4 linked regions of the Elephas maximus indicus genome follow. The protein of the gene in region 1 interacts with the protein of each later gene in a pairwise test. Links are inferred from orthologs where the notes say so. Each region holds a gene or a part of one and is shown in the gene's direction. Other genes may lie near its edges. The genes, in order: GIT1, PPFIA4, RGS2 and LAMTOR5.

Region 1 (7,111 bases):
CGCCGCGCCCCCTCCTCACGCCGGGCGGGCGTGCCCGGCCGCGGGGTCTCCGCAGCGCCCCGACGGCGCTCTCACCTGGCCGGCGCGGACCTCCTTCTCCAGCTCGCGGTAGCGGTTGTACCACACGAGGTAGTGCAGCGGGTACTTGCCCTCGGGCCCCTTTCTGGCGGAGGCGTTGGCGGGGATCATCGCCCGCTCCTCATGCCGGGGCCGCGGCGCCCGGCCCGGGAGGAGGGACGGCGCCGGAGCCGGGGCCCGGGGCCGCGGGGCGGGGGGCCGGCGCTGCTTGCTCGCAGGGCTGCGGCTCGGGCATGTGCGAGCGGCGCCGGCGGGCGGGGGCGGCGCGCCCGGCGCGGTGCGGGCGGCGGGCGTCCTCGCGAGGAGGCGCGGAGAGGCCCCCACCCGCCCGGAGAGGGAGCGGGCACTCGGCTGCGCGGCGCGGGCTCGCGCCTCGCCTCCCACACCCCCGCACACAAAGACGCCGCTCGGCGGAGGGAGCAGGCGCCCGCAGCGGGCGCGGGGGCGCACGGGGCGCCGGCCCCGGGGACGCCGCCGCCGCAGGGACGCGCGCCCGCAGCCCCCGGCTCCTCGCAGCCGCATAGCCCGGCCCTCAGCCCCAGCGGCCGGCGAGGGATGTGGGGATGCGAAGGAGAGAGGAGGGGGACCCGGGTACCCAGGGCAGAGCTTGTTGTAGCCCGGCCCCGCGGCATCATGGGGCTTGTAGTCTGCCTTGTGGAGTTGGGGGTGGCAGGGGACCAGGGAGGGTACCACACTGTCCTCCTGCTCCCAGGAAAGGGCTGGGGAGGAGCCAGGCCTGACAGAAACGGGAGCAGCGTCCTGACGCCAGGTGGGCTGGGGGCACCCCCACCCACTTGATTTTGCCCTTTGTTGGGGGTCGGAGGGGCTGCAGAGCTCCCTTGAACATTGAGGGAAGGGCGGTGTGTGGCCTTCAGGATTGAGCGTGGGTTCCAGGGACTGTGAGCATGAATCCAGATACCCAGAAGAGAGCGGCTGATGCAGGATCCCCGAGAAGGGTGCAGGGCATCTGTACTAAGGGTCATTGGGGCAGCCAGGGGTCTGGCACCTGAGATTTTTCTTAGGAATCCTCCCTGCCTTCTTAGAACATTCAACTCCATCTTGCACACTTGACATTGGAAAGAAAATGTCCACTCAGGTGAGATCACCCCCCCCAGCACTGTCCTCAACTACGACTAGAGTGGAGTTGAGCAGGGAAAGCAGCAGGTGGCAGCTCCCCACCCCACCCCATGGGGTCCCCTCAGGAGAGGAAGTAGCCGATTCCAGAGACTGTCTCCTCCCTGGGTGACCCCAGGGCAGAGAGGCCCTTCCAGAACCGGCCCAGCAGAGGGTGTGGTAAGTGTGGAATTGGCTTCTGGGGCTGCCTGTTGTCAGGGCTGGAAGGACCTGGAGGCTCGGCCCCAGGCCGGGAGAGGCGGGGCTGTGATGTCAGAAAGACCTGAGCTCTAATTCAGACTAACTCAAATTGCTTAATATTTCTGAGTTTACGAGGCCACTCACCTCTAAAATGAGCCTCTGGATACTACCTCCTTGGGTGAGCTAAGGATAGTAACTGCCCTCAAAACGGCGCCTCCCTCCGCCAACCAGGCCGACTGTGACAGGTGGCAGGACCAGGCACGGTGCCTTCTTGAGCCCACCTTAGAATAAGGCAGGAATGAGGGATTCCACGCCAGCCCCCCCCCCACCTTGAACAACAACAACCCAAGATGTGTTTGTGTGGGAGGTGCCAGCAAATGCTTGCAAACTCTCCGCGCCTCTCTCAGGTTTTTGTGTGCTCTCCTCTCCCTCCTCCACACCCTGCGGTGCCAGGCCCCGGCGGGAAGAGATGAGGGAGGAGCGCAGTGCCTCGCAGCTTCTCCAGCCTGGGAGGAGCCAGTTGGCGTCTCCGGCCGCCAGAGGCCGCGGCCCACCTCGGCCACAAGGGGTCAGCAGAGTGTCGTGGCGGCGGCCAGAGCTGGGGAGGGGGGCTAGGCCGCGGGGAGGGGCGGCCAGGAGTGGCTGTGAGGATTCTTGTACATTTCCTCATTAAATTGTTTTAAGAACCTTGTGTCTCATTTTCTTTTAGTTGCCCTGCTTCGGGTAGTGGTGACATAGGGAAATCCAGAAACTCTTTTCTCCCTTACCCCAATCCCAGAAACTCGGCTGTGCAGGGGCTCGGGGTTTCCGAAACAAAGTTTGGAGAGTGGATCGGTGCCTGGGCCACTCCCAGGTGGTCCCCGGGCCAACCTGGAGATGGGGCGGGAAGCGAGGTCAATCAGTCTACTTCCCTGGAGAGCCCTGGAGCCCAAGGAAGGGAATCAGCCGGGGGGGGGGGGCGGGGAGGGCCGCCCCCTGGGCAGCGGGCTCTCTTTTCTAGGCGATCGTGGACAGTAAACTGAGGCCGGCTTTCCCTCTGGCCTGCGCGCTCCGGCTGCCACGTGCTCGAAACGCACCCACACACCAGAGAAACAAAGCCCAGCGGCCCGGCTGCCAGGAGCCACCTCGACATTTAATAAATGAAATTTCTTAGCTGAGGGTCGATCGGGGGTGAAGCAGGGGGCCCCGCTCGTGGGCTGCGTGCCGGATCCAGGCGGCCAGGCAGCTCCTCCGGCCGCCTGACCTGGGACCACTCAGCCCGCGGACTCCTCCATGCCGACGCAGCATGGGGCGGCAGGTGGTGTCCCCTCCTGACACACTCCAGCCCCGCGAGGTATCTTTGCTTACAGAAAGCCCCGGCAGCTGAGCTGCTGGCAGGGGGGAGGAGAGGCCTGCAAGAAGGTTTTTTTAAGGTGCGATTATAAATATACCCGTGGATCGCGATTTCAAACAAACTTGTCAATCTGGGTTGCAGCGAAAGGCGATGGAGGCAGCTTTGCGTGTATTTCGGGTGGTGTGACTCATGAGCATTACTTGTCTCCCCCAGGGAAGCAGCCTGCCCACCCACAAGTCACTGCTGCTCGGGCACCGCTGGGAGAAATCGACCAACTCGGTCACGCCTGCTCAAAGGCTCCCTTCCCGTCCTGGTTACCGAGAACGCCCGGCCACTGGGGAAGCCCTCCCTTAACCTTGCCACCGCAGATCTGGTCCCCAAGTTTGGTCCTCCGCACCCCCGACCCTCTGCTCACAAGCCGAGGGCCTTGGCCTTGTGCCGCTGCAGGGCTGGGGGCTGGGTGCACGCGGGGCACACGTGTACCGGGGAGCATGCTCAGTGCGGGGTTGCGCCCACGTGCGGCCTGCGCCTCGGCTCCCTGTCCCCCGCCTCCCCCCTCGGGCCTGCCTGCCATGTCTCGGTGACAAGTATGGGAAGAAAGACCGTCACAAGAAACGGTCCGTGTATGTTGTACGCACACACCCTAGACGCATTTGTGATGGAGGTATACACGACGGGTGACAAGGGGCTATTCCGCACACAAGGCACAGTGGTCACCTCCTGGGAGGTCTTTAAAAGCATCCCAATTCATTCCTTTCCGGGTGAAAGCACGGAGGGAGTGATAAAGGTATTTTTAGCCCGGAGGCAGGGGGATACACTGCTTGACCTCTCTTGCACCTGGGCGTCCATATTGTTGGCGGGGGGAGGGGGTGGTGCACTCAGCAAGAGTATGACCACACATACACACTGGCACACTGGCGTGGGCACATGGGGGCCAGCAAGACGCACACCTCACCCCAACCTGAGAGGAGCGGGTACGCCAAGCCACAGCTCTTTGACCGGGAGGGGGCATCGGCCTCCAGGCCTTCCCTCTTCCCTGGCCCCTAACCTAACCCAGCTCACCGTCCCTAGGCCACCCTCCGCCCAAAAGCGTAGGGAATGCGGCTGCGAGGTTGACTCACACCGACTGCCTCTGGGCCTGGGGGCCGCCGGAGCAGATGCGGGGGCCGCAGGCGAGGCCGAGGGACCGCGGCCCCTTTAAGCGGCCCCGCCCGCTGCCGCCCGCGCTCCCGGCTTCCTTTCTCCGGGAGGCGCGGCGGGGCGGGCGGGGTGGGCTGCCCCTCCCCCGGTGGGCAGGGCCTGCGCCGCTTCCTGCAGGAGCGGCCCGGAGCCGCGTAGGGGGCGGAGAGAGCGAGCGGCGAGCGGCGGCGGGGCGGCGCGGGGCGGCGCGGGGCGGAGGGCGCCCGAGGGCGAGCGGGCGGGCACCGCGGGTTCCGGGCCGGCCCCAGCGGCGAACGGTTGGCCGGGCGCGCGGAGCCTAGCCGGGGCCTTGCGGGAGCCGGGCCAGGCAGCAGGGGCCACCGCCGCCGCCCGGGCCCGCCGCCCGCGCCCCCCACGCTGGCCCAGAGGGCTGCGGCCGCCTCGCCGCTGAGGATGTCCCGGAAGGGGCCACGAGCGGAGGTGTGTGCGGACTGCAGCGCACTGGGTAAGCGGACCGGGGGCGGGACCGCGCACAGAGGCCGCCGCCGGGCGGGCGCCGGGGCCTGGCGGGAGCGTCATGCGGGGCCGGAGGGTGGGGCGGGGGGCTGCGGCCTCTGGCCTCGTCCCCGCCCGGGCCACTGCGGAGCCGCGTCTTTGGCAGGTGGGCCGGCCTGGGGGCCCCCTGTCCCCTCGCGTCCGTGGACAATCGGGGAAGGACGTTCCCGGCGCCTCCTCCCACCCCTCAGCCTGAGGGAGGCGGGCAGCTAGCTGTCCCCCCCCCCACACCTCCATCTCAGTATCCAAACGGAAGCTCCAGCCTGGGGTGGCAGGAGGGCTGTGGCGAAGGCCCGGAGGATTTCGAAGGTGAGGGCGAGGGTGGTTTGTGTCATCTCAGTGCCACCCCCGCGCCTTGCACCTGCTGCTCGCATGGTCTGCGCTCCCGCCGGGGTGGCGAGGGCAAGGGGCAGAGAGCTGGGTTGATGTGCGGTGGGGCCCTGGTACTGTTTCCTCAGGAACAGATGAGGGGTGGTTACTCCTAGGGCTCCCTGCCTCTGGCTCCTAAGGCTGGGGCCCCCTGTAAGGCCTGGTGTTCAGGGTCAGTACGAGCCTGGGCATCTTCCCTGGAGACATCGTAGGTCTGCTGGTGACTGGAAACAGCTGGACTCGGCTTTTCCTGCTCACCAGTGAGGCCTACTTGGGAAGGTGGGCTTGGAACTGTCCCGGCCTGGGCACAGACCCCTCCCAGCCCCCTAGTCAGGATCTGACCAGGATCAGGTAGGGGGCAGTGGCAAGGGGTGCCAAATTCCCAGAATCAGGTTGGCTTCCTGGCCTGCTTCCTGGCTGTGTATACTGAGGTGTTTCCCTTCCCAGCAGAGTTGGGTTCTGGCTAGTGTGAACCCCCCTGGCCTCCTGAGGAAGTGAGGGGCAGTGACCTCAGAAGCTGCTCCTTTCTGATGTGCTTGTGCTGGAGCTCAGCAGCTAGCCCGGGGAAGGAAGCCCTGACACTTGTCCGTTCTCTTTAGAAAAGGAGCTGTCTTCCTGAGAAGACTCAGGAGTCTCTGAACTCCAGGGTGACAGCAGGCACAATTCAGGGTGTGGGTGTGAGATGATGTTCTGTGTGCTCGTAACTTCCAGCCACCCCTTGGGTGGGACCCCAACAGGTTGAGCCCCACAGATGTTCTGGTGGTTCCCGTTGCACCAAGCTAGAGTGTTTAGAAATGGTGCATGCCTGTCAGGGCACAGGCATGAGGGCTTTGTGGGTGCTTATGACCCTGAGGCCTCCTCTGGGGGAATGTAATAGTCTGGAGGGCCCTGGAGGAGCTATCGGGTAGGGTGCCATTGCCCTTTTTTGACTGAAAACTATAACCCCTTCCCCCCAGCTGCGGGCAGATTGAGGGATGGAAGGGCTAAGAGGAGAGCTTGTCTTTTGTTTGTCCCAGGCTATTTGCCATCTCTACTGGGTGGGCATAGTGTGGGGCACCAAGAAGCACTGTGGGGAGCTTAGTGGTGACCCTTAAGGGGAGCCTGGATTTTAGAGTTGCCTTTGTTTCCAGCTTACTCTGTAACCCTTGACTAGACTTCCGTCACTCTGGGCCTCAGTTTCTTCAGCTGTAAGGCAAAGAAATTTGACTAGAAATAGTTTTTGAGGGTCCTCCCATCTCCAGAAATTTCTCAACAGGATGGATCAACACAATAATCTTAGTAATGGGCTCAAACACATGAAAGATCATGGAGATGATTCAGGACTGAGCAACTTTTTTTTCTGCCGTGCGTAACGTTGCCACGAGTAGGAGCCAACTCAGTGGCAACTAATAACAACCCATCTCCAAGTCTGCGGTCCTGACCCTGGGGCAGAGGGACGGAGGGCAGCGTCAGCAATGCAGTTGTCCTTTCTCCATTGCATCTGAGTACTTGCCTGAAGTCTCTGGGTGCCCAGTAGGCTGGGGAGGAGTGGTGGGAAGCTGGTGTGTCCTCAGTCCTTGTCCCTGACAGAAATATTTGTGCCCCAGGTACCTCCTTTCCCCCTGAACCAGAATATAGGTCAGGAAGAGGCAGGTGATGAGAAAGTGAGGATGGTGAGGTGGGCAGAGTGCTGCCAGTCTTACCACCGCACCTTGGCACCTACTATGGTGTCTGGCACATAGCAGGCACTCCCCAGGTGTTTGGATGCTTGTCAGGACCCGGGCTGGCTGCTTGGGACTATCCCGTACTCCCACTGTACAACATTAGTCCTGGCATGGAGGGTATTCTCCAGGTACCATAGCAGCCCAGGTAAGAGCTAAGGATACCCGGCAATCTGGAGTCCAGGCCCAGGGCCAAGCCTTGGTTGTGCACTTCCCGCCCAGGGTCACAGACTCATCAATGTGATAGGAGTCCTGCAGTCCAGCCTGGGAGTGGGGTGGTAGTCTTTTTGTGGTTGGCTAATTTTAGGGGGCATGGAGGTGAAAGATGAGGTACAGCCTAAAGGACCTGTCCTTCCTCTGCTTTCAGTTCTGGGCACAGGGGACCAGCGTGAATATGTGGCAAAGCAGCTGAACATGGCATGGCTGCTCTCTTGCCAGGCACATCCCTGCCTGCCCTTGAGACTCCGCAAGAGGGGCAGGGGTTGGGAAGTGTTCCCCATTCCTCCTCCTCCACCTACTGTGCCACACAGCCCCAGCCCGGCTCTCAGGGGCCTACTCCTGACCCATGGGCCAATCATCTTGACCTTTCCACTATGGCAGCCCTGGACACAGAGATGAAGAT
Region 2 (7,862 bases), on another chromosome or scaffold:
GACTGCTGCCTGCTGCAGGTCACCACCCTCAATTTCATCTTTATTCCAATTGTCATGGGAATGATATTTACCCTGGTAAGTGGGGACTCAGGGTGTCAGCCTCAACTCTTACATCAATAAAAAAAAAAAAGAAACCCATTGCCATTGAGTCAATTTCAACTCATACCAACTCTATAGTACAGAGTAGAACTGCCCCATAGGGTTTTCACGGCTGTAATTTTTACGGAAGCAGACTGTCCCATTGTTCTCTCTCAGAGCGGCTGGTGGGTTCGAACTGCAGACCTTGTGGTTAGCAGCTGATTGCTTAACTGCTGCACCACCAGGGTTCCTAGCTTTGTGCAGTGAAGAAATCTTTGAAGAATCATAAAAAAAGTCTGATATCAGATTTGTATATTATGAACAGATTTATGGAGAAGTTAATGATACCTGAGAAAATTTTACCCTTCTTTCCTTCTCTATAGCAGTGTTTTTTCTGAAGGAGAATGTTTTTGCATTTTCACGTTAGTGATTGTTAATGAATGGGAAACATTGTCCCTTTCGGGGTGATGACAAGGCTTATACTGAGCAGTGTATGACAGGACCGTGGGGCATGCACATAGTGTCATAAATGGAATATTCAAATATAGGGTGGCCACCTTTGGCCCTTATGTGATGCTCTAACTATTCAAGGCTTACCTAAGAATTAGATTAGTAAACAACATGTATGTCTCTGGCATATTTTCCAGATTCTTAAACATTTTAACGGATTGGCAATTGAAGAGTTCATGTAATATGTCTTCTCTATTTTAGGCGTATGTTCAGTGATATACAGGGTTCCCTCTCCACAATGAAAAACTTTATTCCTGGTAAAATAAATAATGCATACTTCTTACAAAGGATTTAAATAATATATAAAGATACTAAAGGTAACTTAAACCTCCCTACCCTGTAAGTGCAGTTAACCTTTTGGGTACTGTTCTCTAATGTATCTGTTATATATGTATATACCCTCTTAAATAATTATGCATAACTGGGATGGTGTCATACATGCAGTTTTTATTGTAGATCCCTGTCCCTTCTTCTAGGTTAAGCCACATTAACAACCTAGTTATATATGTACATATTCCTTGCACTCCATACTCATAATCCTAGACAGACCTGTATATTGACATGCATATTTAGGGATTTCGTGGTTTATTTTCCCAAAAAAATGAAATCAGGTTGTACATACTTACATGCATCTTGTTTGACTTGCTCAATAATAATCAAAATCCATTCAAGTCATCTCTTAAAGCTCTAACTCCATTTTTAAAAATTGCCTTTAACGATAGTCTATGTGGATATATCTCAGTTTATTCAACCTTTTATGGGACTTTCTTTAAATATGTGACGCTGAGAAGAATTTATAAAAACCACATTAAATTTTTATATATTTTCAAAGGTGTTGGTATTATAATCCAGAGATTAATTTTGTCTAGTGTAAATGATGTCTGGAATGTCTTGTTTCAGAGTGAGCCATAGGAGACCAAGGTTGTTTAATTTGCTTTTCCCTCTCAGTTTACTATCAACGTGAGCACGGACATGCGGCACCATCGCGTGAGATTGGTGTTCCAGGATTCTCCTGTCCACGGTGGTCGGAAACTGCGCAGTGAACAGGGTGTGCAAGTCATCCTTGACCCAGTGCACAGCGTTCGGCTCTTTGACTGGTGGCACCCTCAGTATCCGTTCTCCCTGAGAGCCTAGTTACAGCTCCCTGGGGCCTGCCCTGGGCTAGGCCAGACCATTAGAAAGCAGATTCCACTTTGGCAGCTGGATTGTATATCTGGTTAGTGGCACGCTCTGTTAGGGGAGGGAGAGGGGTTGAGTCAAGAGGAAAATGATTTATAAACATACCTTCATGTAAAATTTGCATTTGAGAGGAGAAACCTGGCCCTATTTTTTGCGTTAAAATCCCATTTGGTGCTATTGAGTTTGTTGTTCTTTATTCTTTTATCCCAGTGAAAATGGATGGTCTTGCTTTAGGGGAAAATTAAATTCTTGACTCTCTAAACAGGGAAGTGGCAGCATTCCCTTACGGATCAGAGGAACCTGAGAGGCCTAAAATTGTTGCTGCTGTTGCTTCCAGTTTAGCTGCCCCTCAAATCCAATTGAATACTTTCTCTTCTCCCTGTACCCTTCTCCAGAAATAAAGTAGGTGACAGGGTTTTCAGAATCTTATAAGATTGACTTCTGTGTGTGTGTGTGTGTGTGTGTGTGTTTTTTAATAATAATTTTTGGATATTTATGTGTAAATGTCCTTTTGCCTGTTTTGGATTTTAGATATTTTTTGCATGAGGTTGATAGTAGTGATGATAGTGACTTTGTGCCCTCGGTATTGTGCTAGGAACTTTACATAATAGCTCTGTAATAATTCTTACCACCCTGCAAGGTAGGTGATACTGGTCTATTTTACGGGTGAGGAAACTGAATCAGTGAACTTACCCGAGGCCATACAGCAGGTAAATGGCAGGGCCAGGATCCTGACCCAGGTCTGTATATGTTCCTTTTGCTCCACCACAATGAAAAAGATCAGTCTCATTTTTCTTGTGACAGATGGTGGTAAAAGGGAGGCGGCAATGTAGATTTAAAAAAAGTAAAAGGGTATGTAAAACTGGGATTGTGGTATACCTTATCCCTAATCAGCTTGAGAGGTATATATAAGATTGATGAAGGAGACTTGTAAATATGTGTTTCTTTTTAATTAAAATGTAGAACAAACCAGGAAAGTTACTGCAGGAAGGAACCGAATTGTTAGAAAGGCATTTATTAGGCTGAAGGGCATTTGAAAAAACACATCCCATGTAGACTCCAGCCTCCTGAACCATAAGCAGTTAGTGACTGTCCTTCACTCCGCACTGCACTGTGCTGCCTCTGCTGCCGTCCTGTGTGCCCACAGCGGCCTGGCCTCTTGTCCCTGCAGAAATGCTGATGTCCTCCGGGTGATCGAAGGACTTACTGTAGGTGGTGCACTCTGAGAAGCTGGTCATGGGAGGCTTTTTTAAGAAGATAACCTGGCTGTTTGCTCTCCCTGCGCCGCACCCCCCCCCCCCCCCCCGCCGCCCCCGCCAGTTAACCAGTGAGCTGGGCATTAAGATGGTGTTCTTCTTCTGGGGGTAGTTGTTAGTGTGAGCCAGACTACCAAATCTGGATGTTGTTTTTTCCTTACCAGTCTCTCTACCCCTAGCTATTTAAAGAGTATTCTTAGGAAGCATCTGCTTAATACTGCTGCTGGTCACCAGCTACAACTAAGCTTACCCCTCACTGAGGGTGGTACTAAAGCTGTTCACACAGAAAGTGAGTCTGGGTCGGTGAAAAACAGCATTTGGGCATTTAAATGCTAAAAAGGAACCAAAAAACCTAAGGGGGCAGCAAGCACCTTGCAAGTCTACAATCCAAAGTTGCCTCTTTGAGACAGGAGGAGAGAAGCACAGAGCCCCTAGCTCCTGAACTGAAGATCCATGAAACGGGAGGGAGTTGTCCCAGTGGATTGTATGTCCCCCATTTAGGAGTTACCTTTAAAAAGGAAGTGAAATAAATCTGACTTAATAATTGTGTTCTGACTCAACTTCTGGGTTTTTGTGTCAAACTCCATGGTAAGATGATAGATAAAATATTAGCTACTGCCTTCGCCGTCCTCTGAGCACAATATCGACAGTGCTTGGTGAAGTGTCTTACCAATGATGGCTATTGTGGCTTCAGTCTTCCCTCTGCATTGGCTGACTTACCTTTTCTAGACTGAGGATGATTCACATTTATTAGTAAAAAGGATGTGAAATGTCTCAGGGATTTCCTTTTGGTGAGAACCACAGACCACCTGGAGAAGAGTTGGAACTTCTGGATTACAGGTTAAAAATGGCTTTATAATTTTCACTTCCTTATATATATATTGAGATTTTGCTCTGTGGGTCAGACAAGTCAAATAACACAAATTTAGCCTCACTTTTCATCCCCCAAATAAATCAGAATTATGCAGACTTACCTGCCTCCTTCCAAAGATGCAAGGAAACTAAGCCAAAAGGTGAATATTTTGGGGGAAAGGAAAAAAAATAAATAAATGAAAGCAAGGCTCAGTGTGTCACTGATTGCAATTACAGTATCTGCTGCTGATACAAAAATGTGTATACATCTATAAATACATAGCTACTCATTGCACACATAAAAATCTTCACACTTCTAGCAGTGCTTACTGGATAGTCTTAAAGGATTTGAGTAGGCACTGTGATGAATTTTCACAAACCAGACGCAAAAGATGCATTAATAGCTCCAGGGGACAGGGTAAGGAATAATTCAGGAAGATGGAGAGGTTTAGCCAAAATATGTCAGCCAGGAATTTCGGCATTTGAGACTCTTCATACTATGTATGTATGATAGACAAACACTTCGTTTTATAGTAACAGTGTTAGAAGAGCCAGGTTCCTGAAGGCAAGCAGCACAATTCACGGAAGTGCCTACTACAGAAATTTATCAGAATTTCAAGCTTCTCCACTGAAAAAATGGGCGGGCAAGAGAGCAGATTTGAAAGGTGACAAACCACTGGCAACAATTACAAGGCCAGGGTCAAACCAGTGGTTGATTAGGGACGGGTGACTTCCACAGGAGGGATGAGATGTGTGTCGCCCCCAGGGCCGCAGCTTCACGGGGAAGGATACTGGGTCCGGGTTCCTATTCCTGCTGGGTCAGACGCTGGCTCGCCCCCACTTTGTAGGGACGCCCAAGGCCTCACCAACATGGCGAGCGTCGTCCAAGGCGCGCTCTGGTCACGTGCCGGGCCGGGAAGCGCCCGGGGCAGGAGGCGTGGCCTCGGGGTGGGGCCTTGGCCTATGGCGTGGGAGGGGCGGGGCCTCGGGGCCGAGCGCTCCGGCGGCGGAGGCTGCAGATAGCTGGGCGCCAGCTCTGCTCTCCAGGACGTGTCCGGCTCCCCCGGTCGGGGGCGGCTCCCCGCTGCCGCCGTGCCGCGCTGCCCGGCCTTCGGTGATTACAGGCAGGTGAGCACCCAGAGCCTGGGTTTGGGGAAAGGCTGCCTCATTTTCCCACCTCCAGCCCTCTCCCCCGATAGTTTGGGTAGGGGTCCCTGTCTTGAGCGCCTTGGGGAACAGCCCCTTTGACTTCGATGTGTCATCTTTGGAGGTATCGCTACTGCTCCCTCCGCGGTCCCTCCTCGGCCTTTGCAGTGCCCTGTGCCCTTGGGTGTGAGAATGGGGGCGATGCCCGATTTGCGGGGAGGGCGTGGAGTTTGCCCGCAGCTCCATCAGCTTCGGGGAAGGGGGCTGAGTTGGCGAGTCTCCCTATGGGAACTGGGTGGACTGCGCCTCCTTTTCCTCTCCAGGAGAGCCAGAGAAAAGCGCCTCTGAGCTCCTAAACCGGTTCCGCTCCTTTGGGTACGCTGGGGGCTGAGGTCTTCGCGCCTCCCGGGGGTCTTAATCATTACCTCGTTTCTCATAACACCCCCTGTTTACTGTCTCTAGCTCTCCGTTCCTGGAACTGCCGATCTCGGACGCTGCCAGAGATGCCCTATCTCCGCAGTGCCAGAGCGGTGGGGTGAAAGGAGTGGCCAACCTGAGGCCTGGTGGGAGTGGGGGTGGGCGCAACAGGAAAAAGGGGCTGGCAGAGAGATTCCTGAACGGGAAGAGTGGGAGTGGGCAGCTTACTTTAAGCCACGCAGCAGGGATGTTTTCCGGTCCGGATCCTGCCGGTTTTGATGGTGGGTGGGAAGAGAGAGGCCGGGTTGGAGGACTTGGAGATGTGGTGTGGGTGGTTTTCTTTGGGAGGGAGGAGGGATCCAGGACAAGGTGCCACTAGGTGCTGATGTCATCTTTGAGGAGCGGTGTGCTGGTAGTGTCCATTAGAGCGGTAGAGGAGTTGGGCTGCAGTTTTGCTGCTCTGTGTGGGGAGCAGGTGGTTAAGGAGGAGGCCCTGCTTAGCATGGAGATCCCCAACTGGTGTGGGCTTAAAGGGGCCCCTCCAGGAGCCAGGTTGCAGGGACTGCCTTCAGTCCTTTGTAGAGTTGTTGGAACTGGCACTTAGAACTTTGCTTAGCATCTAGCAAACTTTTAATGGGCACCTGCTATATGCCAGACAGTATTAGGTGCTGGGTCTTCTGAAGGCAATTTAGGGGCATGGGGCAACTGAAAGGTACCCCATATTAGGTACCCCTGTGTGTAACATCCCCCGCAGCACACAATTTTTTACATCACTGCTGGATTGGAAAAAGAAAGACAGAGCCTGTCTGCATGCTGTCAAACAGTTGTCTGAACTGGATTCCAGCTCACCTTTCACACCACTCTTAACTGGCCAGGTAGTCCCAGGGGAGGCGCTTTGGCAAAAAGGACAGTTGGAGTGATTTTCCCTTGGTTATTTTCAAGGGTTTTGTCCTGAGGCCTGAGGAGGCTGGATAAATGGTATCTCAAAGGAATGCGATGTTGACTAAGCTCCAGGGTTATTGGGGGCCAAGAATGCGCTGGAACCCCGCATGGAGGAGTTGCCATCTCCGGGAGATGGCAGAGCGTGGGGGAGAGGGCGTGGACAGGAAAGCTCATCCAGTGGTGTCTGAGTGCGTGCTGCTGAGCAGTCTCATGATGTCAGAGTGTGGCGTGTCTGCTCTCGGGCAGCTGGGTTGTCAGGAGGGCTTGGAGGGGCAGGGCCAGGCAGGGCAGGTGGCCAGGTTCCTGGGTCACCCTCTAAGTTGACTGCTGAAATCTTAGAAAGAGTTGTCAGGGATTGTTTGTGGGTCCTCCAAGGAAGAAAGCAGGGCTGGAGCTTGGGGAGAGGATGAGGAGTCAGGCTGTGGTGATGATGAGGCAGGGGTGAAAGTTCAGTGGGGCCAGGGAACTGGGTGCTGTGCTGAGGGGCCTTTAAGATATGGGGGAGCTAGCCGAGACATTTTTATGCCAGGGATACTCTCCCTGGGGCTTTAGGCCAAATGTGTTGGGTCTGGTGGATAGGTTGCCATAGAAACAAGGTGTGGTGACTGGCATGGATGTTTGTGTGTGTTGTGTGTGGTGTGTGCGTGTGCATGTGCTCCGAGTACTGGAGAGGGGGAGTTGGTGGGGAGTGGCAGGCCTGAGGGAATGAAAGCTGCCTCAGAGTCTGGGTCCCAGGTACAGAGCTGGGAGAATAGGAGAGAAGGGAGTGCGATCAGAGGAGGGAGGGGCAAGTGTGTATTGCAGCCACATGAAGTCACCATCTGTCCCCCACTCTGACCTGCTATCTCATTGACCTATAATTAGCTCTGGAGGGCATGTGGTGCTGGCTTGCACAAGTGTGGCACTATAGGTGGCTGGCGGAGCAAAGAATACTCTGAGGTGCTGTGGTACTCAGCATACTCCGAGCAGGGCTGCTTTTAGGGGACCTCCAGCACTTCCTGTCCTGGGAGGGGCCTGAGGGAACTCAGAGTACACAGAGTACACAGAGCTGGTGGGGGGAAGAAGCTATGGGGGAAGACGCTGTGATCCGCTATGGTCCAGAACTCCAGGGCCGGGCAGGGCCTAAGGAGCCCCTGCTCGCCAAGCCCCTCGTTCACCAGCCATGCGTGAAGCAGGACTCCTGCCTAGCTCACTGCTCTGCTTTCTGAGAGGCTTGGCTCCTGCAGCCCCTGCACCTCCCTCAAGTGTCTTCTAGTCTCCCAGATGAAGTCACTTCTAGTGCAGCTTCCTGCCTTCAGGAGTCAGGGGCTGAAAGGCCTTGGCTGGGCCACTCCATTCTGAGAGAGCTGGAGGAGAAACTGTCGCCGGTTCATTCAGTTGGTCCTACTCCAGGTTAGGCTCAGCACTGACCCCAGGCTGTGCCAGGGGTGAGTGTCTGGTCACAAGCCACTCTGTATTGCTCTTAAAGGATTTGGTGTGTAT
Region 3 (7,017 bases), on another chromosome or scaffold:
ATATGTCGCTATGAGTCAGAATCAACTTGATGGCCAACAGGTCTGGGTTTATAATGCATGTCAAGTATTATGTTTAAACTCTTATTAACTCCTAAAAAAAAAAAACAAAAAAAACACAAACTTTCTCTTTAATCAGCTTCCGGGTATACAAATTGCATTCTAAGGAAAATATTAATCATGAATTTTGAAGCTTTGTGCATATGAGGTGTTGGGGTGGGGTACAGAATCTTGTATCACCATATGTTCATGCTTCAGTTGGTAAAAAACATTATGAACTAAAGCTAAATTAGACAAGAAAAAAAGGACAGGTGTGTCACACTTCCTCAAATATGATCCACAACTAGGTAATAACCATTTTCACTTTTTCCAATTACTCATCACACCATTCGCCACTCAGGGTTTAGTTTCCTAGGTGTTTTGTTTTTTGGTTTGTTTGGTTTTTTTTTTAACTTTCCAGACTTCAGATTTCATGAGGTAAGGAACAAGTTTATAATCTTCACAAATTCAAGAACTAAGATATCTTACTGACTGAGAAAAACAAAGCCCAGAGTAATACCCGCAGCGCCGTCACCACGGTATGATTTTTTTGTGTGTTTAAAAAAAAAAGTATATATCAGGATTCCTAAATTTTCAAAGCATGAATCTGAGAGCTATTTTGCATAAATACTTTTAGTTAATCATTAATAATGATTTTTGGTTAGTAATAGTTAGCATAAGGAACCCTGGTGGTGCAACGGTTAAGCACTCATCCACTAAATGAAAGGGTGGTTTGAACCCACCAGACACACTGCAAGAGAAAAGACCTAGTGATCTGCTCCCGGAAAGACTACAGCCTAGGAAACCCTATGGGGCAGTTCTACTCCGTCCTGTAGGGGTGCTACAAGTCAGAAGCCACTTGAGAGCACACAACAACGAGCAGGAGGGTAAGAGTGGAATATGGCACGGGAGACTTCTGCTTTTCATATTTCCCTTTGGTAATGCTAGAAACTTTTGTTTTTTGCTTGTCCCTTTCTGTAACTTAAAGTTTTTAAATATTACAGAAAGTTTAAGATCCACCCTCAGAACCCGCCTGTGTTCAGAGAACCTCTCCAGCAGAGGGCATGGTAGATTCAACAGAGAAAATGTGTGGTCCATCAGCCACTCTCAACCTGTGGTTTTGCTGTGCAATTTTTACAGCCTATTGCATTGTTTCTTCCTCCACCACATAATGGAAAATGTGTATCATCTTCATATTGAGCAATCCCGTTTACCTAAAAGCCAGTTGTAACAAAACAACACAAAAGGGAAGTCAATCAATGCTGTAAGCTTTCCCTTTAAATACAGCAGTAATGCCTGCCAGTCTTTACAAAAGTCATTAACGTTAACATGGCAACTATTTTCACAAAAAGATTTCTTCGTCTGTAATAGGTATTGGATTAATCCTTAAAATTACCCATAGATTCAAAATGATAAACCGTATTTACATTCAGAATTAGCAAACAAGTTCTAAAAGTCCTAATTTTCAGGGAAAAAAATTAATTTTCACTCATTTAACATAAGCTGTCGATCTGAAAAGGGTTTATGGAAAACGCAAATAATTGAACACTTTTTAAAACCTATGTTAGTCTATATTTAAACAACTATTTGCACACATGGATTTTGCATACATTCACTTTTATGAATATATTGTGATGATTTAATTTCTCTGGCTTTGAAATCTCTGAAAAGTTCAAATGTTAATTATTTTACTTATTTTTCTGTTATATCCGGGGAGCATTTATTAAGTATTTATTATCAGCTGGATACTTTATAAATCTCTGAGGCATTATACTGATGTTTTAGTAGTACTTATGCATGTATGAAACCCTGGTGGCATAGTGGTTAAGTGCTATCACTGCTAACCAAAAGGTTGGCAGTTCAAATCCACCAGCTGCTCCTTGGAAACCCTTTGGGGCAGTTCTACTCTGTCCAATAGGGTCACTATGAGTCACAGTCATCTCAACAACAATGGATTTGGGTTTTTTTGGTTATGCATTTATAGCCTAATTAACTCTGAGTTAATCATTCTATGATTTTTTTTTCAACTTGAATAGCTGTACTTCTGAACATTTCCTTTTCTACATACATACAAGTTAATAATAAACTTTTCCATAGTGCTTTAGAATTTACAAAGGAATTTCCCATGAGACTGGCAAGAAAGACACATTATTCTCATTATTGGTGAGAAACTGGGGATCAAGGTGTAAGCTGAGACTCTCATTAGGTCTCCTGACACCAAGTCCAGCTCTCTCTCCCTGCTGCCTTTTTTTTCAGAACTCCTGAGTTATCTATGAGTGAATAGTAATGGGAATTTCACCATGCAAGGTTCGAAATGATAAGTGAGAAAAAGCAGGTGTCCTGCATATTGTACATATTTAATAAATAAGTATTGACTCATCAGAAAGTGAAAAAAACATACAGCAAACACCATGCAGTTCCTGCACAGATGAAGACTATATGCTTGAGCGAAATTAGTCTTACATTTCACAAACATATTTTAAAGTCTTTTTTTTTTTTTTTTTACTGAAATCTAAATTACTTGTTTCCATAATAAAGTACATGACTGTTCTCTTCAGTAGTAATTGCAGATTTTCCTCTCCAAGTCAAAGCTGGAGCTCCAACTACTGGCAGCTCAGCATAAAAACATGGTAACTAGTCCCAGTGTTACAGGCCTGCGTCGGAATTGCTTCAACAGCAACGGGTTTGGTTTATTGGCTTTTTAATGGTTAGTGTAAAATAGGGAGAATATTTGCAACCCAATCAATATCTTGCTGTAAAGCTTACTGTCTAATTAGAGGTTTGATGGGGAAACCATTTGAATATTCCACTGTTAGGTTCTGGCAATGCTGTTCTCTAAAATCAAATCATTTTGTAGCTAAAGTAATGTTTGTCCTCACCCATCAAGTCACTTGAAAGCTTGCAGGAGGGGACAGATGATTTCTGGAAAATCAACAACTTATTTAAGCAAAGTGTTAACTTTTCTGCTACTTTTTGCCAGTTAAGTATTCTGGTAAACTCTAAACCAACTAAGGATGACTCACGAAGAAATCATCCATTCCCACGTTCTTAAACTAGAATGATTCCAGTACATTCCATCTGCTAAGTGTGGCGTTTTCCCTCTCCTTCCTCTCTCACGCACATACACAATGGCGAGATCTGTGATTTCTGTTGTGGATGGAGAAGAAGCCAGGAAATCCTGAGGACGGACCCTATAGGCCAAGCCACAAGTCTAGAGGTGAAGATCACAAAGTAAACCCAGTTAAAACGCTGTCTTCTGAAAGAGTCATTTTCTCCTGTTCCTCACCTGACGAATGTTCGTTCCCCTAAGTATTCCAAGATGCCCAAACCCCAGCCAGCACACCTGCCCCGGGGCTGTCACCGTTTCCTCCCCCGGCTGAAGCAGAATCGCAGGAGAGGACCGAGCGAGGGTCTCCGGGCGGCCCCGGTTTACTTTACAGACCAAGGGTCTCGGGCGAGTCGGTACAGCAGGACCAGGACTGTAAGCCAGAAACGAGGCGCGGGCAGGGGGATGGCCAATCCATGTTAACTGGAAATAAGGCGATTGCACTCGAGTTTGCAGCAAAGCACCTTTTCCTGATGGGGAAACATCGCCCCTCTCGGGGATCCAGGGGCACGTCAGGGTGGGTGCGGGGAGAAGGCGCGCCGCGCCGGGCCTGCGGCTAATTCGGCCCCCCGCCCTCGCCGGAGGCGGCAGAGCCCATCCGGCCGGCCCCGCGCCTGGGCACAGGTCGCCGGCAACGGCTCCCGGGAAAGGTCCGGGTCGCGTTGCGGCCCGAGCGCGCGCTCGGCCGGGCAACGCCAGCATCGGCTGCGCCCTGGCTCCCGAGACCCTTCGTGGGCGGCCGTGACCGCGCTCGCACCGCCCCCGGGCCCCGTACACGGCCAGTCCTCGCCCTCCGGGGCGGGGCTGGTGCGGGCGGCCCTCCCCATCGGGTCCTGGCCTCCTATAAAGGCCGCGGCGCCCCCGCCAGCCAGCAGCCGCTGCCGGTGTGGGGAGAGGATGATGCGAGGTTCCATGTTCCTGGCTGTCCAGCACGAGTACTGTGGTCCAGTGGACAAGAGCGCAGGCAGTGGCGCCAAGAGCGAGGAAAAGCGGGAGAAGATGAAGCTAACCCTGTGAGTACGGTCTTCTCCAGCCTCCCGCCCTTGCCCCTGCGGAGCTAGCTCCCCCGGTCTGCTGCAAACGCGGTGGGCTCGGTCTCGGCCTCGGCTGCAGGAAACTGGGTAGTTCGGGTCTCCACAGGCGGGAAAAGGGTGGAAAAGGTTAATCTGGCAAATTAAGGTTAAATATGTTTTTTGGTATTTTTTTGGCGGGGGTAGAGTTTTATTTTGTTACGTGACCGAAGGACGATCCGTTAGAGTTTAGGAACTGAGGAATATTCTACATGTGGTGTCTGGGGACGGCGGTAGATGCGCTAAGATATTGCGGGTTGACTTTTTGTTCCCCTGCATTTAAAATGCCATCAGAGAATCCTGCGGCTGAAGCATGTCCCCTGCAGTCGTGCGTTGCATTGAGTTCTGATCAGCTTACACAGCTGCAGGGCTGAAGCTGTGTGTGCTGGTTCTGAATAGAAATCCAGTCTTGTTTTTAGTAGAAGAGTAGATCTCACTCATTGAGACTGCGGAACAGATTATTGCTCTGCAGCATTTGCTCAAAATGAGCGTCGTCGTTGGGGGGTGGAGGGGCGTGGAGATAGTCACACGCACCTCACTGTGTGCAGCCTCTGGCGTTGTCCAGAGCCTCCTGCTTTCACGGTGAAACCCAGTGCCGTCGAGGAAAATGAACATCCCCAGCCGGAGGCGATTTCATCAAGCGTGAAACAACCGTAGTTGTAATTCGCCTTGTAGAGAAACCTGCTGCCTTTGGAACAACACAAATTTAATTCGTTTAAATACTTGAGTGGTTTTAGATAGTCTTGCCGATAGTTATAAAACTGCTAGTTACTCTCACGTAAATGAATGAAGCTAATTGTGTATTCAGTACATTACATTAAAAGGGTGAGACTTGTCTCACTTGGAGAGTTCCTGTTTGATTTTATTTGGTTTGTCTGTAGCTCCTGGGAGACTTTATTTGGAAAAAAAAAATGCATTCGGCTGCAGTAGCTGCATTTTCAAGCATTGCCACTTAGTAAATGGCCTTTTTTTTTTTTTTTTAAGGTTAAAAGATTGGAAGGCCCGTTTGAGCTACTTCTTACAAAATTCCTCCACTCCTGGGAAGCCCAAAACCAGCAAGAAAAGCAAACAGCAAACTTTTATCAAGTAAGTTGAAAACCCTGTACTTGGTAATAGGAGCTGCTAGCTGCTGGACCAAAAAGGGAAGTTCTGGTGCACATAAGCTAATCTACAGAACCTCTCTTGCAGGCCATCTCCTGAGGAAGCACAGCTGTGGTCAGAAGCGTTTGATGAGCTGCTAGCCAGTAAATGTAAGTTACACTCTTGAGTTTGATCCATTTCAGGTGGTTCAGGAGTTCACTAAGGTTAGGTCCACCCAACAGAAGAGCAGCTGGCCTGAGGGGAATGGGACTTAAATTATAGTCACTATAGCATAAGACCTATTTTTCTGTCCCTTATTTTCCAGTGTTTAACCATGGAAATGCATATATTATTCACTCCAGGTGGAGAAGAAAAATTAGCCTAAAAAAATTAAAGTGACAGTTGCTATTAGCAAAGATTAAGTCAGCTTTTCCATTGCAGTGTTTTCAAAAGGCTTAGTTCCCAGAGAATTTATGGCTTCCCTCTAAATACTTATTTTGTATTGACAGCAAAATTAAGTTTGCATATTTTTTTTTTTTTTACCAGTGTGCCAATTTAAGCAGCTTGCCTACTGGCATCTTAGCTTTTAAATTTTAAAGAGGGAAATTCTGAGGATTGTAGGTACGAGTGAAATCTAGAAAATTACCATCATTTAGAAATAATTACAGTGCGGGTACGCACTAGGAAAAATATCACATCTGCATGCCCTTTTTTCTTTCAGATGGTCTTGCTGCATTCAGGGCTTTTTTAAAATCTGAATTCTGTGAAGAAAATATTGAATTCTGGCTGGCCTGTGAAGATTTCAAAAAAACCAAGTCACCCCAAAAGCTGTCCTCAAAAGCAAGGAAAATATATACTGACTTCATAGAAAAGGAAGCTCCAAAAGAGGTAAAGAAAAAAAAAAAATTCATCTCAGTACATTTTTGAACATCCTTAGCACCAAAGTGAAATAAGAGTTGAAGAGACTCCAAATTAAAAGAGTGGGTGAGGGGTGGTAAGAGGATCCTCCCACCCAGCCCAACCCCATTCTGTCTTTCAATGGAGTTTTTCCAGTGACTGCTTGGTGAAGCTAATTTTTAAAAAAGCTAATTTTTTGTTTTTGTTTTCATGTATTAAATAGATTTCAATCTCTGTACTTACCAATACTCAGTAAAATATTTTTCTGTTTTATTTCAGATAAACATAGACTTTCAAACCAAAACTCTAATTGCCCAAAATATACAAGAGGCTACAAGTGGTTGCTTTACAACTGCACAGAAAAGAGTATACAGCTTGATGGAGAACAACGCTTATCCCCGCTTCTTGGAGTCAGAATTCTACCAGGACTTGTGTAAAAAGCCACAGATCACCACAGTGCCCCATGCTACATGAGATGAAAAAAGGAGCCCATGAAAGGAGAATATTTCTTTTCTTTCCCCCCTAAGGAGAAAGGCTGTGACCTGCCAAGAAAACAAAAGACTGACCTTGAATTCAGCCTGGGTGTTCAGGAACTATCACTCATAATAATTATTGATTCAAAGTTGGATAGTGACTCAGAAAGCCAGTGACAGTCTAGGAGAAGCTTGTATCAGGATGGCTTCCATCACTGTGTAGAGGACACAGGGAAGGAATCATGGTCTGGACATGGTGTGTCTCATGCTGGAGAAGCAGGAATGTGAGATGGAAGATAACAACGTAATGTTATTGGTCCAGAAGCATTTAAAATCAGTAGATCTGGGATGTGGC
Region 4 (7,094 bases), on another chromosome or scaffold:
GCATGCCATTAAGTCTGTTCCACTCAGTTCCCCTCAATTACAACTGCACCTATCCTGGCAAAATCAAGGTGTTGCAGGACTTTGAAATTTCCACACGAACTGTTATGTTGTCCGTCCACATCTGTCCCTCCAAAAACGTCATCTGGCCCACAACAGCCATCCTCCCAAACCTCTGCCTTGATTATATCTGGGTACAAGCTAAAGAATAGTATGCCTTGGCTAACATCACCTTGGCAATCTATTGTGGCCCCAACATCAGAGGAGAGGCACTATTATATTTCAGCTTGTCTTTCCCCAGTTACATGCACCTGGTACACTGTACACCAATGACCCTTGGCCTTCCTATTCAAGTTTTCCCATACCTTGGGGCTACCCCCCAACATATGAGCCCTGCCATAGGTGAGCTGGTGGGGCAGTGGTTAAACGTTCAGCTGCTAGCCCAAAGATTGGCAGTTCAAATCCACCAGCCACTCCTTGGAAACCCTGTGGGGCAGTTCCACTCTGTCCTATCGGGTTTCTATGAGCCGGAATTGACTCAACAGCAAGGGGTTTATAGATGAGCTATATTTGTACTGGAAACCCTGGTGGCATAGTGGTTAAGAGCAAAGGCTGCTAACCAAAAGGTTGGCAGTTTGAATGCACCAGGCACTCCTTGGAAACTCTATGGGGTGGTTCTACTCTGTCCTACAGGGTTGCAATGAGTCGGTTATTGACTTGATGACAGTGGGTTTGGTTTTGGCTTATATTTGTACCTATCATTGTCAGAATGGTCATCATCCTAGGAGTAGTGCGAACAGCTACTGGAGTAGCTGCTTTAGCAACCAAATCACTAATTATCAAAGCTAATCAAGAAATGTCCCAAACTCCAATGGCATACATGGAAAAAAAAAAAAAACCCAAAATACTAGGACTGACCATGCAAGGGCATAACTCCCTGGCTCAGAAATGATTAATAACTGACTAGCCCTAGATTACCTACTGGCCAGTCAAGTAGGAGTGTGTTCCACTCAAGGCACTTTGTGCTGTATGTACATCAATAACACAGGGCAAGTGGCCACACTACTCAAGGGAATATCTCAACATAGTAAGGTTATGCACAATACAACAAAAATATTCCAACAAATCCTTACTTTCCATGGTTTCAAACCTGTTTTCATGGCTTTCCCCATCTACATGGGGCCAATGGCTACAAACTGGCTTCCAGATTATTGCAAGCCTATTTATCCTGCTCATTGCTCTGATTACGTGCACCCTACAATGGCTATAAAAAGCTATACTAATGTCTTTCAGTATTTCGGCCACTCAAGTTATAAATGTAATTTTAATACCCGATGCTGAGGCATCACAGGGTGGGCTGTCATGAGTTTTGCTAACACTCCATTTCAGTTGCTGCCCTGGCATCCATCGTGTCCAGCATAGAACAACAAGCTGGCTGACTTACTCTGCCCTTTCATGCCAGCTCCTGATATGGCTTCCCCAGCAGCCCGTGTGACCAACAACTCCCCACAACTCCCCTCCTGCTCCCTTTTAGATCAGATCCCCACCAGCCTCCCCAAGACTCCACTCTTTTGCTTCAACCTGACCAATCCAACAGAAGCTCAGAAACCTTAATGTACCCCACCCTCAGGCCCTAATAAAGGCCTGAACCCCAGGTTCCTGCTCTCCCTCTGCCCCTGACACAACCACCCTATGTGTCCTTCCCCCCAAGACCTGTGAGTACTAAGCTTGTTATTTTTAGTTCCTCTGTGTGGTCTCTTGTTGAACCAAGACTTATCATCCAGTGCCCATGTAACTCCGTTTTAAGTAAGTATCTCAAATTCATAACAAGGTGTCATGGGACTTTTCCTGTCACCCCAGAAATGATTACCAGCACTCAAAACTGAGAATAAAGAATCATCAAATATCCCACAAGCCAAAAAAAAAAAAGGTAGAAAACAATTAGGGGTCAGATACCTCCTCCCCAGCTTATGTCAGCTGTTCTGTTTTCTCTGTCTACCTGCTCAGGAGCAGAAGAGCAGCAGGGCAGAGGAGGGTGTGTGGAGCGCCCTGTCCTCCCCCTTCAGTGTGGCAAGGATGTATGGACCAGCTATTGTCCCTCTTCCTACTTTCTCATTTTCCCTCCAAAGGCCTTCCCTACAGCTTAAAAGTGATCACCAGCCTTTCTGGGAATTCTTTAATTATTCATCTGGCTCTGAGATCATCAGAGACACCCTGGAGCTGTGCTGGCCAATATGGTAGCCACTAACCTACCTGTGGCTACTGATATGCTGTAAATGTAAAATGTAAAATATACACCATATCTAGTACAAAAAAAATAATGAAAAATATTCATATTTTATGTCAATTACATGTTTAAGTGATCATATTTTGCATATACTAAGTAAATAGATTATTAAAATTAATTTCACGTTTTACTTTCTTTAATGTGGCTACCAGAACATTTAGGATTACATGTGTGGCTCACATTATATTTCTGTTAGACTGCACTGCTCTGGGGTTTAAAAATCAGAGCCCTTAGAACCCTGGTGGTGCAGTGGTTAAGAATGCTAACCAAAAGGTCTGCAGTTTGAATCCACCAGCCGCTCTTAGAAACCCTGTGGGGCAGTTCTGCTCTGTTTTATATGGTCGCTAGGAGTCGGAATCCACTAGGGGGCAAGGGGTTTTGGTTTTCTGAGGGGTTTTGAGAAGCCCTCGACTCAGCAGCAATGGGCTTGGTTTGGTTTTGGGTTTAGACCAGCTAAGTTGTCACAAAGCATGGGACCACAAGGGGGCGGTACTGCAGAGAGGCGCTTCTCTGAGCACGCCTTGGACAGGAAGCAGACGGGCTTCCTGAGTTCAATTGGCACAAGCTTAACTTCAAGTAGTCACTACTTACATTTTCTAATGAGATAGTTGGAGGAAAAGTAGAGCGAGGAGGACGTTAAGAACAGGAGTGGGTAGAGGCTTACAGGGATACTCGCTCAGCGTTAGGATAGCCAAAACGCATACACCCACAGCTATAGGCAGCCTCACTGTACATTAATTAAATTAAGGTACAGCTATGGGAACACTGGTGGCCTAGTGATTAAGTGCTATGGCTGCTAACCAAAGGGTCGGCGGTTCGAATTCGCCAGGCATTCCTTGGAAACTCTATGGGGCAGTTCTACTCTATCCTATAGGGTCGCTTTGAGTCGGAATTGACTCGATGGCACTGGGTTTGGTTTGGTTTATACCATGGAATATTTTACAACTATTAGAAACTATGTAAATGAATGCAAATTGACATGACAAAAATTTATGCTAAATTCAGTCAAAAGGGCTAGCTACAGAATTGTATGTCCAGTACGTATGTCAATTTTGTTTGAAATAAATAAAATATGCATTTGCAAAGACAAACGTCTGAAAAAAATATTCTTCATGGGATTAATAGTGAGACTATGGGTGATTTCCTTGCCTTTTCTTTTTTTACAACTACTTTTATAATTAAAAATTTTTAAGTTACTGTTAAGTAGCCCTTCACAGTCTTCTTCACGAGTTAGGACTCAGATACCACTTTCCTTCCCAAACTTTTCCACGCCCTCCCATCAGAAGTATTGATGTCTTCATTAAAACGCAGACCCTTTAGCAGTACCCAGCTTGGGGTTTTACCCCGGTTCCATCTCGTCCTTCAGTCCCTTGAGCGCATGTCTTTCCCCTACACGCCTGTGGCCTTTTCACAGCGGTCTCTCTTCCCCGTACCGGCCCCACCGACTAGATCAGACCCTGACTGACTGGCCGGGTTACTGTGAAAGTTAAACTAGATCCGGTCCTTAGTGGGTCTCGGAGTCTATCGAACCGTCATCCAAAAATTAAAAATCACTGAGACAAAGGCCAAGAAACCGAGGCACTGAGGTCCGGCTCTTGACCTCTCTCCCGGATAGAGGATAAATCGACCCGCACGGTTCCCGAGGGGAGACGCTCCGGGGTCACCACGCCTGTCACCACTCAGGACGGCAGGAATAGAATAGCAACTTCGGATTAAGAACGCAGACGACGCGCCGCCATCAATTTTGACCCTTTGGAGGCACCATCCAGATCCGGGCTCAGCTTGTGTCATGTGACTGCGGGGTGCTTAAAGCCTGTAGTAGAGAAGGAAGCGACGTGCTCCGAGGTCCTAGGCCGGGGGCTGACGGCGGATGGGATGGAGACGACCTTGGAGCAGCACTTGGAGGACACGTGAGTAGTGGGGGCCTCTTCGGCCTGTTATGAAGTCGTGGCGAGGGCGGCTGGAGTAGAACAAAGGGCGTGAGCTGCGAGTGCCGATCAGGGCGTTTTGGGGAAGCCGCGCGAAGCCCTGGACAAAGGATGAGGCCGTGAGACCTTGCCCCGGGACTTAGGGGCGGGGCTGGTAACCCGGAATTAATATTTCCCAGTCCCCCGCCGTACATCCCGCCCCGGAGCGAGTCTCCGGGGTTCAAGCCGGAGGCCAAAATCAGCTGTCATGTTGTTGAAATTGTACTATGTCCAGGGTCGTTCTTACAGGAGCTTTAGGAAATAGATTTCACTTTTGATAAGGATGTACAACGTGAGCAAAATCGAGTCCTGAAATATAGACACACGCAGGTGTCTCCTAGTGATTGCGTACCTAATCAGTAACTTTGTGCTGAAGAAGCTAAGAGACATCTCTTCATTTTTTCGAATAGGTAGCATCTGTGTGAGATTCAGAGTCCCTGGGTGGTGCAAACATTAACGTGCTGGGCTGCTAACAAAAAGGTTAGAGGTTCGAGTCCACCCAGCGATGCCTAGGAAGAAAGACCTGGTGATCTACTTCTGAAAAATCAGCCATTGAAAACCGTGTGGAGCACAGTTCTACTCTGGCCCACATACGGTCGCCATGAGTCAGTCCACTAGAGGATAACTGCTGTGTGTATGGGAGCTTCAAATGGAAAGGCATAAGAAAGCTTATAAACATGTTCCACCCATCAATGTTCCGCAGCTTCCCACTTCCTCTCCAGGAGGCAACCCATGTTAACATGGTTGCTTAGACCTTGTTATTTAAAACATAATAGTTTTTCAACAGTTGTTTTAGATGAATTAATGTATTAAAGCATGCCTTTTTAACAGGAGTGAAAAAAAACTTTCATTACAGAGAAGTTCATTTAAATTAATTTTTAATTTTTATGAGTCACAGAATCCACTCAACGGCAATGAGTTTGGCTTTTTTTTTTTTTTTTGGTTGTTGTTAGCTGCAGGCGGACCCCATGCATGAAGGAACAAAACTGCCGTGTGGTCCTACACCATCCCCATAATCAGTTGCTGATTGGTTCCATTGCGTTCCATAGGGTTTCACTGGCAGATTTTCAGAAATAGATCGCCAGACTTTTCTTACTAGTCCATCTTAGTCTGGACGCTCTGCTGAAACCTGTTCAGCATCACAGCAACATGCAAGTCTCTGCTGACAGACAGCTGGTGACTGCCCTCGAGGTGCATGGGCTGGGAGTTGAACCTGGGTCTCCTACATGGGATATGAGAATTCCACCAGTGAACCACCAGTGCCTCATAATTCATTTTAATTTAACCTAATTTTTCTCCTTGAGGTAGGGTTGTGAGGGCTGGATAATAATTTTTCTTCTTAAGTTGAGAAACACCAATTTTAAGCACTTACAACAGTGCCTGGCACATAGGAAGCCTGTATGTCTTAAATTAGTTATTTAAATTCATGTTCTCACATCATATGTTTCATCCTTCCTGTGATTCTGGAACTAGAATGAAGAACCCGTCCATTGTTGGAGTCCTGTGCACAGATTCACAAGGACTTAATCTGGGTTGTAAGTATCTCACACCAACCCTTTGGTGAATTGCAAAGCATTTGATGTTGACTTGGAGCCTAGTGTGCTATTATTCTGTAGCATTTATTTCTTGTTTTGTTTCTTACCTTTTCTGGGTAGTTTGGTGAGAGTAAAGATAATCTCCAAATCACAAGATTAGAAAGTTGAAATTTTTTAATTGGTATTTATGAAAGTAAAATTGGTCCTTGAAGTTCTGCCATTAAATACTTGTCTCTACTCAAGAATTATTTTAGGTTAAGGGAAGGACAACACATAATACAGGGGAAGTCAGCACAATTGGACTAAATCAAAAGGTAAGGTTTTCTGAACACAACCAAACACTTCCGGGGGCACAGTAGCAGGGGCAGGAGTCTGGGGACCATGGTTTCAGGGGACATCTAGGTCAATTGTCATAAGAAAGTTTATTAAAATGTTCTGTATCCCACTTCAGTGAGTGGCACTTGGGGTCTTGAAAGCTAGCGAGTGGCCATCTAAGATGCATCAATTGGTCCCAACCTACCTGGACCAAAGGAGAATGAAGAACACTGAAGACACAAGGAAAATATTAGCCCAAGAGACAGAACGGGCCACATAAACCAGAGACTCTATCAGCCTGAGACCAGAAGAATTAGATGATACATGGCTACCAGCAATGACCGCCCTGACAGGGAACACAACAGAGAGTCCCTGGCAAAGTAGGAGAATAGTGGGGTGCAGAACTCAAATTCCAGTAAAAAGACCAGACGTAATGGTCTGACTGAGACTGGAGGAACCCCAGAAAACATGGCCCCTGGACTCTCTGTTAACCCAGAACTAAAACCATTCCCGAAGCCAGCTCTTCAGACAAAAATAAGACTGGACTATAAAATATAAAATGATACTTGAGAAGAGTGTGTTTCTTAGTTCAAGTAGATACACAAGTTTTTTTTTATATGGGCAGCTCCTGTCTGGAGGCAAGATGAGAAGGCAGAAAGGGATAGGAGCTGGTTGAATGGACATGGGCAATCCAGGGTGAAAAGGAGGAGTGTGCTGTCACGTTATAGGGATAGCAACTGGGGTCATATAACAATCTGTGTATAGATTTTTGTATGAGAAACTAACTTGAGCTATAAACTGTCACCTAAAGCACAATTTAAAAAAAAGAATAGGTTTGTCTCTCCTAAAATAGTATTTGAATAGTTTTAATTTGGGTCTAGAAGGAACCCAGATAATGACAATTACTGTTTATTGAATGTATGCCATGTGCCAGAAACCCTGGTGACATAGTGGTTAAGTGCTATGGCTGCTAACCCAAAGGCTGGCAGCTCA

Evidence for each region.
Region 2: the proteins of GIT1 (region 1) and PPFIA4 interact in a two-hybrid assay, tested with the Homo sapiens proteins (2 studies listed by BioGRID). The link is inferred for Elephas maximus indicus from reciprocal best matches to the Homo sapiens genes GIT1 and PPFIA4.
Region 3: the proteins of GIT1 (region 1) and RGS2 interact in a two-hybrid assay, tested with the Homo sapiens proteins (2 studies listed by BioGRID and IntAct). The link is inferred for Elephas maximus indicus from reciprocal best matches to the Homo sapiens genes GIT1 and RGS2.
Region 4: the proteins of GIT1 (region 1) and LAMTOR5 interact in a two-hybrid assay, tested with the Homo sapiens proteins (2 studies listed by BioGRID and IntAct). The link is inferred for Elephas maximus indicus from reciprocal best matches to the Homo sapiens genes GIT1 and LAMTOR5.

The regions. Positions count from the first base shown.
Region 1 is NC_064837.1:22,374,785-22,381,895, forward strand, and holds the start of GIT1 (ARF GTPase-activating protein GIT1), read left to right. Parts: upstream 1-4,109; 5' UTR 4,110-4,318; coding exon 4,319-4,370; intron 4,371-7,111. Other genes in the region: ANKRD13B (ankyrin repeat domain-containing protein 13B), read right to left, coding at 76-189. UniProt on the Homo sapiens protein: GTPase-activating protein for ADP ribosylation factor family members, including ARF1.
Region 2 is NC_064836.1:11,907,109-11,914,970, forward strand, and holds the start of PPFIA4 (liprin-alpha-4), read left to right. Parts: upstream 1-4,858; 5' UTR 4,859-5,003; intron 5,004-7,862. Other genes in the region: TMEM183A (transmembrane protein 183A), read left to right, coding at 1-75, 1,537-1,722. UniProt on the Homo sapiens protein: May regulate the disassembly of focal adhesions. May localize receptor-like tyrosine phosphatases type 2A at specific sites on the plasma membrane, possibly regulating their interaction with the extracellular environment and their association with substrates.
Region 3 is NC_064842.1:58,196,120-58,203,136, forward strand, and holds the start of RGS2 (regulator of G-protein signaling 2), read left to right. Parts: upstream 1-3,996; 5' UTR 3,997-4,039; coding exon 4,040-4,155; intron 4,156-5,196; coding exon 5,197-5,298; intron 5,299-5,400; coding exon 5,401-5,462; intron 5,463-6,013; coding exon 6,014-6,180; intron 6,181-6,468; coding exon 6,469-6,663; 3' UTR 6,664-7,017. UniProt on the Homo sapiens protein: Regulates G protein-coupled receptor signaling cascades. Inhibits signal transduction by increasing the GTPase activity of G protein alpha subunits, thereby driving them into their inactive GDP-bound form.
Region 4 is NC_064821.1:170,892,007-170,899,100, forward strand, and holds the start of LAMTOR5 (ragulator complex protein LAMTOR5), read left to right. Parts: upstream 1-4,085; 5' UTR 4,086-4,159; coding exon 4,160-4,194; intron 4,195-5,724; coding exon 5,725-5,786; intron 5,787-7,094. UniProt on the Homo sapiens protein: As part of the Ragulator complex it is involved in amino acid sensing and activation of mTORC1, a signaling complex promoting cell growth in response to growth factors, energy levels, and amino acids.